2 linked regions of the Alligator mississippiensis genome follow. The protein of the gene in region 1 interacts with the protein of each later gene in a pairwise test. Links are inferred from orthologs where the notes say so. Each region holds a gene or a part of one and is shown on either strand. Other genes may lie near its edges.

What was found. The genes of interacting proteins can lie anywhere in the genome.
Region 2: the proteins of TXLNA (region 1) and DEUP1 interact in binary tests that used the Homo sapiens proteins (3 or more experiments, as listed by UniProt). The two-hybrid records come from large-scale screens. The link is inferred for Alligator mississippiensis from reciprocal best matches to the Homo sapiens genes TXLNA and DEUP1.

What each region holds. Positions count from the first base shown.
Region 1 is NC_081829.1:5,547,762-5,555,369, reverse strand, and holds the start of TXLNA (alpha-taxilin), read right to left. Parts: upstream 3,019-7,608; 5' UTR 2,825-3,018; intron 2,549-2,824; 5' UTR 2,517-2,548; coding exon 2,324-2,516; intron 1,397-2,323; coding exon 1,061-1,396; intron 79-1,060; coding exon 1-78. UniProt on the Homo sapiens protein: May be involved in intracellular vesicle traffic and potentially in calcium-dependent exocytosis in neuroendocrine cells.
Region 2 is NC_081824.1:448,092,712-448,100,271, reverse strand, and holds the start of DEUP1 (deuterosome assembly protein 1), read right to left. Parts: upstream 3,003-7,560; 5' UTR 2,952-3,002; coding exon of another isoform or gene 2,941-2,951; intron 1-2,940. UniProt on the Homo sapiens protein: Key structural component of the deuterosome, a structure that promotes de novo centriole amplification in multiciliated cells.

The DNA of each region.
Region 1 (7,608 bases):
TCTTGCACAGTGCCGCCAGCTTCTCCTCCGGGGTGCTCAGTGTGTTCAGTGTCTGCATCAGCAGTGTGATCTCCTTGCCTGGAACACAGGACAAAGCAAAAATCCATTTCAGACAGAGCTCCCAGTCCCAAGGCATAGAGGCGGAGCCTGAGCAGAACCCCTGCCCTGAGGCAAGCAGCTAGTAAAAGTTTCCCGAAGACATTTGTGCCTTGGGTGACTAAGACGGTGGCTGAAGTGGTCTTCTTGGACAATGGACTCAATAAACCTGGGTTAAACTCCCTGAGACACCACCAACTTCCTGGGTAACCCACGGCAAGCCACTAAGTCTTTGTGCCTTCACTCTCCATCCATACAGGATTAGTGAGGATAATTATGTTAGAGCTGAGGTGCTCATATAACAGTGAGGGAGATCAGCAGAGACCCAGTGAGAAGGCAGGGCAAGTGGTCTGTGTGCTACCTGCACCAGGTTACATGGGCAGCTGGGCAAAGAACTCCAGACGTCCTGGACTCCCACATCCATGCCTACTCTCTAACCACCCCCTCCCCAACCATGGCAGGGAAAAGAGGCTTAGCAGGCAATTTCACGTACAACTCCATGTTAGAGTCATGCCACGTAGGTGCAAATTAGACAGGCAACTGAACACTCGCTCTACATGCTAACCCTGTCTGGGCGGATGTCCAGAAATATCCTTCATTGCCAACACATACATAATGCAATTTACTGTACTTGCATAATCAAGCGCAAGAAGTATTGGCAGTCTTTATTTGGCAGGATCTGACCTGCACCCTTTTATTGCATAGAGCAGGCACCTACAGAAAGCAGGGGGACAAGCTTCACTCTGTGTGTGCACGCTGCTGTACACATCCACCCTGGTACTAAGGGAACACAGAATTTTTAGCACTGGTCTGTGGCTTCACCATAGGGGATGTGTACACAGACATGGATGCTATCATGCAGGGACTGGGTAGGAGCCCTGTCCCCCTGGATTTAGCTGCTAAACCAGCAGAGGTGAAATGCCCCGTCCCCCAGGCTGGCTGACCCTGAGGTCAGAGCCCCTACCAAGCCCCTTGGCTTTCTTCTTCTCCTGGGTCCGTTTCTGGTCCCGCTCCCCACACTCGTCACCGGTCCGGAACTCCTCGGGCCCCTTCGAGCCCTCCTTCTCCCCGTTAATTTCTGGGCAGCCTGGCTCCTGCTCCCCGTTGCGTGGAGATTCGCTCCGGCACTTCTCTGCCTCATCAGGCTCTGCAGGCTCGTTCTGCCCCCCGTCATCCCCGGGGCCCTCCTGGCTGGCATCCACGCAGTACGTGTTGAGGATGTCCTCCAGTTGCCTGCTCAACTCCTCAGAGACATCACAGATGGCAGGCTGGGAGCCCTTTGCTTCCTCCTGTCCAGAAGCTGCGGGAGATGGGAGAAGAGAACGAGCATGTGACACCTACCCTCACAATCCCCATCCTCTAAGCATGCCTCTGCCAACCCCCTACAAGCAGAGAAGGGGAAGAGCTTCCTAAGCACGTAACAGCCCTTCCCAGCGCCAGCTCCACTTCCAGCTGCATCAGCCGCTTTGTTCCGACGTCGGGGAACATCTGTATCACTGTGCAGCTGCCCTGACCGCAGAGATGCACCACCCTCTTTTCATCTTGGTGGCATGACCAGGCTGCCAAAATCTGTCGGTGGCAAAACTTCCACTTGCTTGATGGAAACAAGCGCAGCAGCGGTTTTCCTTCGCAGGCACAGCCTGGTAATGTACGCCCCCCGGCCTGACATTTTAATAATACTAATGATCTGGGATCGGACGTAGGTCAGAGACAGCCGCTACGTGCTGCCTTGACAGCGGACATCAACACAGCTCAGACCAGATCTCCTGAGGACTGGCAGCCGTTGGCAAATGGATCTTCAGCTATTAAGTTAACGTGACTCATCAGATCCCGCGTTTGCTAGCCATCGGAGCAGGAGGCAGGCCTCGATTCAACCGAGCACTGAGCTGACTCGACAGGGCTTCCCCGGGCGGAGGGGTAACCTTTACCGCGCCGAGAGAGGGGCAGATGCCCTGGCTCAGGGCGGGGGCAGCTCACACGACTGGACAGAGGAGCAGACGGGGAGCTTTGTGCAGAAGGTCCCAGGGCTTTGAGTAATAAGTAACTCAATAACAGTAAAATCACTCAACAGCCGGACGAGACTCCGTCTCCCCCCGTATCCCAGGCATGCAGCCAGTAGTCCGGGATGTCCTAGGATGCACAAACCTGACCCTAATCCCTCCCTGACACGGGGAAACAGGAGTTAGCTACGATGCCCGCCCGCCCGCCCGCCCGAGCAGAAACGCACCCTCCATCTTCTCCCGCGTCTCGCTGGCCGGGCTCTCGGCACTGCCGTCGGGCTGGCCTGCCGAGTCCCCGGCGTCGGCGGGCGGAGCAGCCTCCGGCGAGTCGTCCTCGGCGGGCGCCAGGCCGCTACCGCCGGCTTTGGAGGGGCTCGCCGGGGCCGCCACGGCTTTGGTCTCCCCGCCCTGGTTCTTCATCGCGGCTCTTCTCCCCGCCGTGTCGACGCGCCCTGTGGAGAGAGGAGCACCCGCTGCCTTCGCGCCCGGGACTCGGGCGGCCGTGCCCAGCCTGCCCGGGCCCGGGGCGGCCGCAGGGACACCCCGGCCCCCCCCCCAGCGTGGCCGAGTGCCCGCGTCGCAGGGCCCCGGGGGGGGAGGGGTGCCACCGGGGCCCTCCCCCACCAGCTGCACCCCCCCTTCCCCTCCCCTCCCCCACCAACGGCTGCAATCCCCAACCCCCCGCGCAGGGCTGCGGGCCCCGCGCCGCGGTGACATCACACACGCACCCCGTGACGTCACCGGCCCGAGGTGTGACGTGGCTCTCCGGGTTCGGTCAACCAGCGAGCGAGGGGCCCCGCTCCCTTCCTAGGCCGCCACAGCTCGTCCCCCGCCCGGCGGCCCCGCTTCCTAGGCGCGGTTCGTAGCTGACGGAGAAGCGGCTCCGGCCCGGGCCGCGGAGCGTGTGTGGAGTGCGCATGCGCCGGCCCCGCCGCCAGCCAATCCGCGCGCGAAGCCGCGCGGCGCCTGCCGGGAAACGCCGGTTGGAGGCGGCAGTTGAGGCGGGAGGACGCGACTACAACTCCCGGCGGGCCCCGCGGCAGCGCCGCACTACAGCTCCCGGCGTTCTCCGCGGCACGGCAACACTACAGCTCCCGGCGTGCCCCGGAAACAGGGCGGCACTACAGCTCCCAGCAGGCCCCGGGGCCCACACTGCAGCTTCTGGGGCAGGGGCAGCTCCCTGTTCTCAGCTAAGCAGGAGGACGTGGCCCGTGGCAGGGAACCAGGGGCAACAGCTGGAGGCAGGCAGAGCCTGTTGAACAAGCTCTAGGCCTGCATGGCACCAGCCTGGCACACGTTACATACATCACACAAAGCCTGGAGTCCAGGCACGGGTGCACTCAGCTCACAGTACCAAAAACAACCGAGCAGCTCTGCAGAGCCCACCTGCCACATCATCAGTGCTTAACGTGGACCCAGGTGGGAGCTGGCTTCTACAGGATCCTGCTCTCACATGAACACCTGCCCCAGGGCCCGCGCAGGAAAGCTGTGGAGCCGCTCCCATTAAATCCAATAAATTAAATAAAACGTATGCAGCGTTCCCTCTGCATAGCTACAGCGAGGCGGGATAGGGTCGAAGCTTGGCTGGGCTGGGGGAAGGAAGGGAGGGTCTGAAGATGGCGGCGTTATTGGACTTATCCCTTCCCCGTGGGGCCGGAGACGGCGGGAGCAGCCCACTAGCTGGACACTGCGGTTTATTGGCACGAAGGACCGGCATGTACAGCTACTGCTTAGGTTTAAAGAAAGCAGAGGCCGAGGCCTGTTTCACCCCTTCTGTTTGGACATTAATCACACACACCTCTGCCAATCCATTCCCAGGTAAGTTCCCCGTGTACATAGACAGGCTTTAGCCCGGGCCCCCGCTGGCACAGGGGCGATGCCCAAAGTTTCATAAAAGAATCCAGAGTCGCCCAGTATCCGGGATTGTGGAACAGGTTCTTTATTTATGTTGCATCTGTTACAGTGTTGGAAACCTAAGAGAAACACACTTTCAACTCCATATCAAGCCGGCTAGTCTGTTCTAGAGTCGGGTGGGCATCCTCTCAATCCACCATGGTACAGCTATGCCGTAGCTTTAAAGGGGGACTCACTGAAGAGAACCATAGTATTTGGCTTCATTTAAAAAAAATAAATAAATAAAAAAAAATCCTTACTCGGAGAAGAAGAAAAAAAAAAAAAGCCTTAAGATACTGCAGTGGCTACAGGAAGTCCTGCATTCAGGTGTCTGAACGCTGTACCGCAACCACAACTTACCACTGCCCTTGCTTTTGCCACACGTGCTCGCAGCTCTATAATGCAACCCATACATGAGCTGGTTAGTAAATGAAAAATAAACTTAAAAAAAGAATCTCTCACCAGCTCCACTCCAGGGTGTGGCCATGTGTGGTTTAATGCTCTGACATGCACTTACGTAACAGAATATAAGTACATAAGTACCATTCATGGGGTTTGTAACTGGTTGCTTCTTAAAAAAAAAAAAAAAAAAAAAAAAAAACACAAAAAAAGGACAAGTCTCCAGCTTCTTTTCTGTGAAGGATCCAGGAGACAAAAGGTTTCCAAAGCGCCATTCACACTTCAGTGAATCTTTTTCTAGCCAGTGTTACAGTAGCTACTGGTCTGATCTGGTTTCCACCCCTCCCCCTCCCCCCCAAAAGAAAATCCCAATTCACAGTTTGCCAACGGCCACAGCACTGTTTGCAAAAGTCCCATTCTTATTTAAAAAAAAAAAAAAAAGAAAAGAAAAGAAAAAAGAAAAATATTTCACCAGATTGGTCTGGAAAACAGACTGTTGATGAAAGGCCCTATGCTGTTGATGAGTTACCCTTCATTTATTCCCACACCAATTGCATAGACAATGAGGAAAGCAAGAACCCAAATATTACTGCACATCTAAGTTCTACTATCGCTTACAGGTTGTCCTTCAACAAAGGGCTCAGCCCGCTTCACAGGGAAGGGTCTCTTGAAGTTACTGCACCAGCTCTTTTGCCAACAGCAACTGCATATTCTGAATACAGTGATCTGTATTGTATGGGACAAGAACAAGGGTCAAATCTTAATGGATTGGGGAGAGGGGGGGTGTGATGTGAACCCTCCTGGATCCAAGCTGAAACCCTGTGCTAAACCTAGGGAATGAAACACCCCACTCCATGTGCTAAAGAAAGAAATCTTAGACCCAAACCTAGTCTTTGATACTAATTATGACTCAGCTTTACAAAGGGCCAGAAGATGAAAGCTATTCAGAGCTCTAGGCTAAATTCTAGTGGTTTCCAACATGCACAGTTGGAGACGCAAGTAGTCTGGGATGTTGTGCACTTAAATGGCTCTTCATGAGTCAGTCCAAAGGGACTGCTCTCGTATGAATCAGCAGCCTCTAACCCCAGCCACCCCACTCATCACTTAGATGACAGCCAGATGCAATTACATTTTCAGAAGGAGACTGCCATCAAGAGTGCAAGCTCAGTGCTAGGACTGCTTTGCATTACTGCACACGGGCTGCTGTGCTTCTAGAATAGCAAACAGACAGAAAGATTGCAGCACGTACATCCCAAGACAAGCTGACAAAACTTCAGGGAGGAAAAACCTTCACTTGCTGCATTAGTCAAAGGGCAGAATGGTTCCTACCAAGCAGCACTGAGTCTTCCAATTTCCCAACTCAAATTCCTTTGAAGACCAATCAAGAGAAGTATTTTGTTGATAAGTGCACCATACTAGCATGGCTTTCCCTAACGTAGGTTAATATGGGATCAAATTAAAGCCAGACTGGTCTAAATCTAGGACAAATGGCAAAATTCAGATTAGTCCTTATGCCTAGACCTTTGCCTCACTATATCTTTCAAAGTTTGACAGCTATAGTGTTATAATCCCATCACATTTTGGGACTCAGTTCAAAACACAGTGGCTGTAGTGGTCATTGCCACCCCTTGTAAAGAAGGCCCGAACATTCACGAATGCAGACTGGACTGCCAGAATGTCAGGCAAAGCCAACAACTGCTGGGAAAAAAGGCTGTGCTGTCTGAGGAACTGTTGAAGAGGAGAGGCTGAGGCAGGATTTGAGAACTAAAACTCAAGAGTCCTTCAAGTTATGACACGTGCAGAAGAGATCATGGCAGGAAACCAAGGCAAGGGACCCAGCATCGTTTGTACAGATTAAGCTTTAATCAAACGCTTCAAGGAGGTGCAATTGTCTGTTTTCTGCCATGGTCAAGTATTAAATACTAGAGCGCCAACAACAAAAGCACTTAGTTGGAAAAACAATGCATCAGTTTGAGGAAGGATCCTCAAGCAACCCCCAGTATCTTCTATGCCCGTACAGCCTTCTCTCTGGGTTACAGAGCTTTTTCCTCTAGGTAACAGGAGGAAAAAAAAGACAACCTCACCAGCCCCAGTGGTCAAAAGTCCCTCTGCTAGCTGAATGATGAAGCCAGACTTGATATCAAGCATCCACTGGGTACCATATGTATTTACCTGAAAGAGTTACAGAATTGAGCATCATGGTCTATGTAGGGGCAAGACAGCCTGGAAAGTGCCAGCAAGCAACTACAGGCTAGCAGCCCCAGAGGATATACATTTGAAATAAAAAAAGCCAGTAGAAATAGAGGATTTAAGATGCTCAGGTTGCTGACAGCACCCAAGTAGCATTGAGGTCAACTGAATGTGTTAGCATAGTCTAGTGCCACCATTGCATGGCAGTGAAATACTGATAAAAGTGATTGTTCAAAGCAGATCCATAAGATGTATGGCTGAGCCTCAACACCTCTTCTAGATCCACATGGCACTTGTGTGAGCCAAGAAAATGAAACTGAAGTAGTTTGAACACAGGAAAAAAGTGAATGTTAAAAAAATATACATATCTCTATCAAATGGCACACCCCCAAACAGGGACCTTGGGGCCTGGGGAAGGCTCACCTAAAGTGATGCCAAGAACCAACAAAGGTTGCTATGCAGGTCAGGTTCTCCTGCACTCTGCAAGGAACAGCTTTCTCAAAGCCAAGCCTGTTCCCCAGCCCCAAACCCAGAGTTGCAATTCACAAGAGAGCAAAAAAGGTGATGCCCTTCTCCCAAGTTTAGCTGGAAGAAGAAAAGATTGCCAGGTGGCAACAGATGCATCATTTATAACATCTGTATTGGCCACCAGAGATGGAAGCCTGGATGCCAGAAAGGAAAAGACAGTGGTGCTGGAACACAATAGCAAGCCTGCCAGTTAGTCAAGGAGCAGCAAAAGACAGGCGCTAGCAAATTTTCATCAGGGTTAATCCTGCCTTGCAGGGAGAAGGCAAGAAGAGTGGGAGATGGGCTACTTGGTGCCTTTTTTTTTTTTTTTTTAAACCAACCATCGGCTCATTTCATACAAGCTGCCAAATCAGTTCCAGAAAAAACAATGCTGCAACAGGAGGCCTGGGCTCTCTGTTGCTAAGAGAAAGCTTAAAGAGTTATCAGCCAACGAGGCACTGCATTGAACAGGAATGATGCCTGCTGTCAAGGAAGAAGCAAGCTACTCCCAGCAGCAAGGCAA
Region 2 (7,560 bases), on another chromosome or scaffold:
ATGGCCCTGCTTTGCGCCGCAAGCAGGAAGAAACACTATGGGACACTGGTGGAAGGGACTAAAGAGATGCTTTATGTCCCTTTGTGTTCCTTTGTACCAGTGAACAGGATAGACTGCAATATAGTTATAAACATATTAGGTAGTGTATTTGAACTTGATCACTATATAGGGCCAGATCCCACCACTTTTAAGAAGTAATTGATTTGTATGGTATTGTTTATCCCTTGTACTGAATTCATAATCTCACCTATGTTTCCATTTCTTTTTTTTAGAAATATTTTTTGTTGTATTAATATTTTGAGACTTCTGGTGGAAGAATGGTATTTATTTTGTATCAAAGAAAAGACTGCTCAGTTGTGAGGAAAAGCGCATTTTTACTACTCAGCGGGCACATCTATGCATGCAATTAACGTATATACATAAACTCCGGAGCTTACTGCTCTGGAGTTTTATTGCTTCTGGGTGCACTGTTGAAATGTGCACTTGGAACCGCAGCACATTGAGCCAGGTCAGAGCAGCCCTGGCTGGCAGTGGGCTTGGGGGATCAGCCTGCCAGCTCAGGGCTGCTCCCCCTTGCTTAATGTCCTGTGGAGGGGCTAGCTGGGGAAAGAGGGTGCTTCAACATCATGCTAGCAAGTGGGCAGCCCCTGCACTGAAGTGCCCTCTTGCCTCAGCCAACCGGGGCAGTGTCTACATGTAAAAAAACTCCATGGCAGGATAGTACTTGTATTTACAAGTACTAGTCTGCTGCAGAGTTAATTAAGTTACTCCAGCCTAATGGGAGTGCATGTGTAGAAGCATGATATTTACTATGCAGCTAATTAGTCTACTGTGCAGTAAATGTCTCATGTAGATATGCCCAGTGGGTGCATCCACACATGCAATTAACATGGAGCAATACATTCTGGTACAATTCACACCAGTCAGCAGCTCCCAAGCACAGTGCAAACACGTGCACCCAGAACTGCAGCAGTTAGAGCCAAGGTACAGCAGCCCCAGACTGGCGTTGGGCAGTGGAGGGGCTGACTAGGGCACAAGGGTGCTACAGTGTAGGACTAGTGCAGCCCTCACACTAGCACTCTCATGCCCCAGTCAGCCTCAGTCACTGTCAACATGTGTGTTGAGACACCATAAATTACTCCGCTGTAGTACTTGCCCTAGACAGTACTATCTTACTGCAGCTAATTAATTTACTGATCCCTAAATATAGGAGCACATGTGGACCAGGACACTTTACTGAAGAGTTAATTAGTCAACTCCACAGTAAAGCACATGTATAAAAGCACCCAGGATGAACAAGGAGTTAATTATGTGAGCAATGTCTGATTATACCCTTAACAATTAATTTCCTTGCTTTTAGGAGCACAGGTTTTGGAAATAACTCGATATTTAAACATATGTTTTTGTTGCTTAGCAACAACTTTTTAAAAAAAAACATTAAAAAAAAGTTATAAGCAAAAGCCCTCACCACTTTCCCTTTTTTATTAGGGAAGTAAATAAAAATGCTTATTTTTACTAAATACATGAAGAAATGAAAATACCAAAAATATTATAAACAAGTAAATAATAAATGCATAAAATAAAAATAATAAATAAATATATAAATAAAAAATTATGAGAACAGTCCCTAGTTTATTAGATGAATCTTTTATTAAGCTGGTTCACAGTGGGCATGTCTACATGTTCATTAATGCACTTTTGCTAATCCGCATTAAGTTTAGTATCTTCATTGTGAAGTACTAGAAAAAGGTGCATTAGCTTATCTTAATGTGCATTAGCAACAGCACACTTCTTGTGACACTTAAATATGCATCAAAATAGGCTAATACGCATTAAAATGCATGTGTAGACACACCAAGCCACTGCTTCCTCTCTACAACAACCGTTACGACACATTGCAGGTAGACTTGCGTGCCACACTCCGGCTCCTGCTACATGCTACATATATTATATAGTTAACTGGTTAATTCCGCAATAAATTTAGACTGGCCACACATGCAAAGTAATTATCACTTACAGGGGCAGATCTAGGATTTTGAAAAAGGGGGAGAGGGGTGCAGATGCTGTGGTGCATCATATAAAACAGAACACATGTTTCTCTACAGATAAAGATAAGCAAGATGCTTCATTAATAAGGCGGGGACTACAGCTAGTTATTCACTTTGAAACTGAAGCAAAAAACAAACAAAAAACTTTGATGGCATGTGGATTATATCATATATAATGGCATGTGGCATATCATATATAATGGCATTTGTTGGCATGTGGCAATATCATATATAAACACACAACAAACAAGGAAAAAAATAATCCAAAAATGCTGCTTCATTAATCCTGGAGTCACTCATGTTAAATGCGTGTGTCTTTTTCAGATTCAGAGAACAAAATCATGCCTTCTGGAACACCCGCAGAGCGCCGCCGATGCTCCGCGGACAGCGACTTCTGCACCTGACCTAACGCGCACCCGAGTTAACATTTCCACACCTGAGTTAATGTTTTTAGCTAAAGTTAAAAAAAACCCCCAAAACTAACAGCGCACAGGGCTGTGAAACAGAAATAACCCGACTAGGAGCAGAGCTCTGCTCCCTGCCCTGTTACAAACCTGCCCCCTGTGTCCTTCTTCTGGGGACCAGCGGGCACGTGCCGCAAAAGGCAGGCGAGGCGGCGCAGGTGACAAGGAACCAATATCTGATACTGGGAAATCCCAGTCTCTTAAAAAAAACAAACAAACATGCCACAAAGAAGTGCAACAGCGCAGGCAAAACCAGAGCCTGGCCAGCCAGCGCCCCGGGAGGCCCCCAGGACCCAGGGAAGGCTGCTGGGGCTGGCCCAGCCTGCCCTACCCCACCCGGGGCAACTTGCCAGGGGGCTCACGGCTCCGTGCGGTCACCGGGCGCTGCGGGGCCCTGTCAGGAGCCGGCCCGCGCCACAGCTGCTCACCGGGCCTCCATCCTCCGCGCCGGGCGCTTCCCGCCGCGCTCCCGGCCCCGGCTCCCGCCGCCGTTACCGGGGCAACGCGAACACGCCGCGGGAGCGTCGGCGGGACGGGGGCGGGGCCTCGGCGCTGGGGGCGGGGCGCGGGAGGGGCAGCGAGGAGGACATGGAGAGGGGGTCGTGGCAGCGTTGGGGTGAGGGGTTATAGGCTGTGAGTGCACCAGGTCTGGGGCTCTCTGTCTGGAGGCGGGGTGAGGAGAGTAGGCTTGGCTGGAGACTGGGCAGTAAAGGGGCAAGTGTGTTGTCTTGCAAATATGCCAGCTCGGGCTCTGGCTGGGTTGCATGGTGGAGGCTGAAGTGGGCCCTGGGTGGTGTGAAGAGCTGGCCCTCCGGGGAAGCGGCACGCCCGGGTGCAAGGGGACATGGAAAAGACTGTGTGAGACCAGGGCAACACCGTGAAAACACAGTCAAAACTTTGCGTCCCAATAAAGGAGGCTTAATTTGTACCGTTGTGATACCTTGGTGCGGCTTGAAATCTGCGCAGACAGAGCCAGCGTGTAGGAGCGGTACCGTTTCCGTGCGGCGGGAGGTTACAGCCATGACTCTGGCCCACAGCTAGGATGAGCCGTGCTAGCCGGGCCCAGCCTGAGGTGAATTTTGTCTCGTTGAGCCCGGTGTAATTCACCCAGGGAAAAACGTTTCCTTTTGGTTTGATGAGCACGATGAGGGGAAGCGGAGACGCAAAGCTGTATGTGGAAGCGCTGTTATCGGTAGATAATACAATAGGCAGAAGGCAGGCTACAATGTAATTACCATTTTTCTTCTAAACAAGTAACTGCGCTGGTGCAAAATAACCTGAAACGGTTTTCACATTGCTATGCAAATAACTTACGGTACTTAGATGGTACTTATTTTCATGGGCTTTGATTTAATATAGTATGGCTTTTATGTGAAGGAAAAGCACTTTCTGAATTCCATGTATTTTCATTCTTAAAACAGGTTTATTTGCACTTGAATATCTGAATATCTTACATTTTCTGTCCATTGTAAGGGATTTTCTTGATTTCTACTGATTGTGCATAGGCAGGTATAGATTCATAGATGTTAGGGTCAGAAGGGACCTCAATAGATCATCGAGTCTGACCCCCTGCACAGGCAGGAAAGAGTGCTGGGTCTAGATGACCCCAGCTAGATGCATATCCAACCTGCTCTTGAAGACCCCCAGGGTAGGGGAGATCACCACCTCCCTTGGGAGCCCGTTCCAGACCCTGGCCACTCGAACTGTGAAGAAGTTCTTCCTAATGTCCAGTCTAAATCTGCTCTCTGCTAGCTTGTGGCCATTATTTCTTGTAACCCCCGGGGGCGCCTTGGTGAATAAAACCTCACCAATTCCCTTCTGTGCCCCCGTGATGAATTTATAGGCAGCCACAAGGTCGCCTCTCAACCTTCTCTTGCAGGTAGTCCTAAGTTCACTAACCTTCTCTCTAACCATGTTTTTCATGAAAAAATAATATAAAAAAAAAACAAAACCTGAAAATTAAACACAATGGTTGGTCAGATTTCTTGTTAGGCAGCGGCTCCAGCCACCCTCCCCCAACTCCCGTGCAGCCACTGTCACCCCACCCCTACGTCCAGCCAGAAACCTGTGTCTCGGGTAACTGGCACAGCGGCACTTTTAGTTCACCAGCACCACCCATTTTTCAGTTCAAATCCCTGTTAACTGGCACAAGTGGGGAATGGGCCATTTGAACTGAAAAACGGGTGCAATTAGTAACAACCAAATGGCTTTAAAAAAATCAGGAAATTTATTAGTGAAAAATTGGTAAAAACTGAGAATGCGGAACACTATTAATTAAACAATGGCTTCTTGTCTTTTTGCTGCAAACTCCCTTGGCTGTCCTGCTGGCGTGGAGGTGGGATTCATGCTGGCCTCGCTCACTGTCCCACTGTCCCCAGCCCCAGCAGCTGGCTGGCTCCTCTGGACAGCATGGGAGCTAGGCAGGTGGACAAGCATTCTCAGCCAGTGACCAGGTGTGCACTGCTGGTGGGGAAGAAAGGGAATTGGTGCTGCCTAAGTGATGCCCCCACTGGCTTCTTCCCCACTTCGCTTGAGCCCTCTGGTTCCCTGAGCCCCAGCAGCTGCCTACAGTCAGGGTTTTCTCATAGGCACCAGATGAGAATAAGGGAGGTTAATTAAATAATGAGGTCCTGCTACTTGCTTGCGTGCCCGCTGCCCAGCTGCTACCTCCCTAGTATCCCCAAGCTGTTATGCTAGCTTGGGGGATTCATGCTGGCCTCACTTGCTGTCCCAACTGGCTTATTGGGTGGCTGGCACCTCTGGCTAGTATGACAGCTGGGCACCTGGGCACGTGCACACCACTGCACTCAGCCACTCAACCAGTGGCCAGTTGTGCGCTGCTGGCAGGGAAGGGGGTGGAATGGGTAGTGCTTGAGTAAAACTCCTCCTCAGCTTTCCCCTACCCTTGGCTTGAGCCCTTAGGTTCCTTGAGTTGCCCCGGCTGCCCAGTCAGGCTTTTCCTGCACTTAGCAGACTGCTAAAGATTTTAAGAGGTAATACCAGGACAGAAAAAGGCCCAAGATTACAGGAGATCAAAAAAGCCCTGGCTGGTTTAAAAAGGAGTGCTCTCTCAGGAGAGGTGGTACTTGTTTTGGGAAATCAAACTAGTCTGATCATTGTAACCAACTGGTCACAGAATCTCAAAAGGAATAATTGCAAGTGCTTGAATTCATCTGTACCTCCTGGGTCATCCTGGTTTATACTCAAAGTACTCTAACCCTAACCTGGGACAGAGTGGGAGGGTATTGGTACATTTAGAGAAATCAGAAAACAACAAAGCATCTACATGTGCTTTTCAGTGCACTAAATAACTCCGCCATAAGGTAGTACTTATGCCAGGCAGTACTATCCGACAGCAGAGGTAATTAATTTACTGTGGCCTAATAGCATTGAATGTGTAGACGGTGATGCTTCACTGCAGAGCTAATTAGTGAACTTCACAGTCAAGTACATGTGTAGATACCCCCATAGAGATTTCAAATAGGAATACATAGTGTTAAAAACGGTTGTAGTCCTTCTGCATTCTTTGCAACAAAAGAATCATGCTGTTATTTTTCTGCAGTCAAACATGAATGACAACTAAGAGTTGACATTTCTGAATAGTGCCTTGAGCCTAATGAGGGATGCCTTAAGTATATTTAGGGGTGCCTTGAGCCTAAGCAGGTTGAGAACCACTGGGCTAGATGAACTGTTGGTCTAATTTAGTATGGCACTTCTTATGCTCTTATATTCTTATGAGGTCGGTTCTCTTGTCATTCTATTACTTTATTACTTTCTATTATCAATACTACTATTATTTTTACGGCTGTTTTGCCACCATGAATATAGCACACTCATCACTAATCCATGTTACACTATTCCAACTGTTTGCCCATTCCTAGGACTAAATCTTATATTTTAATTTTAAGCAAATAGGCCGTGTTCACACGAATGTGGATGTTTGGTTCCCTGGGGACAATTAGCAGCAGTGTACCTTGTGCCACTGCTAGTTGTCCACAGGGAATGCCTGTGCCACATGCCCTCTGGTGCATGGCAGGTTGCCCTGGGTGGGATAGGGGAGACTGGGGCCAGCACTGGGCTGCCCCAACAGCCTTACCTGGGATTCTGGGGGCTCCTGGGGCTGCAGTAGTGATGATCCTGCTGCTCAGAGCCTGGCCAGTAGCTAGAGTGTGGCTTCGGCCAGCCAGGCTCTGGTTTTCAGTGGTGTGCACTGCCCCTGCATGCACCATTCTGCTTTTCTATGGCGTAGGATTTTTTTGACCCCTGGATATCAAGGGGTCACCCCCATCCCCACCTGCTCCCTTGCAATGCAGAGAACAGCTGAACATGCGGTATGTGGTGTTGCAGACGTGTTTGAAGTTGTTTTCCACAATTCTGCATCCCTAATCCTATCCCTAAAGAAGTTCCATTTACTTTTCCCTTTAGGTGTGTTTTTGAATAAGAATTTTAAACATATTTAAATGATAGACATTAAAAACTACATAATCACCTGAGCTTTGCCTCAGAGGTATCTACATTTCAGTGGCTGAGTGAATTGATTTTGCTCTATACTGTTTATAAAATGTTTGGGGATACTTTGGTATGAAAGCTGCTGCATAAATGTAAGATGATGTTAGAGTTTCACTTTTACCAGAAAATACCTAGAGCTGCGGATATATTAAGGCAATATTTTCAGGTTCCCCTATCCCCAGTAATTTGAACTGGGAACACAATGGAAAAATATATGGACTGAAAAATAGTTTTTCCTCACACGGTCATAGCATTACAAAAAAACATTTGATTCATACCCCAGGGCCATTATATGCTTGTAATGATTTTTGTGTCCAGTCTCAATTTTAATGACCAAAATAGTGGGGCTGTCCTTGAGAGATTTTTTGACAAATGGATCTCACTTAAAAAAAGATATTTTTGTGTTTTTCCTGCAGCACTTTCCTTATCTCAGTTCCATCTTGTTAGTCTTAGGAGAACTCCCTGGTTCATCTCTAATAAATTCCTTTCTCTTCTTAGTGTTTAGGGTCTAGAAATATCAGTAGCCGTTTCTGGAAAGA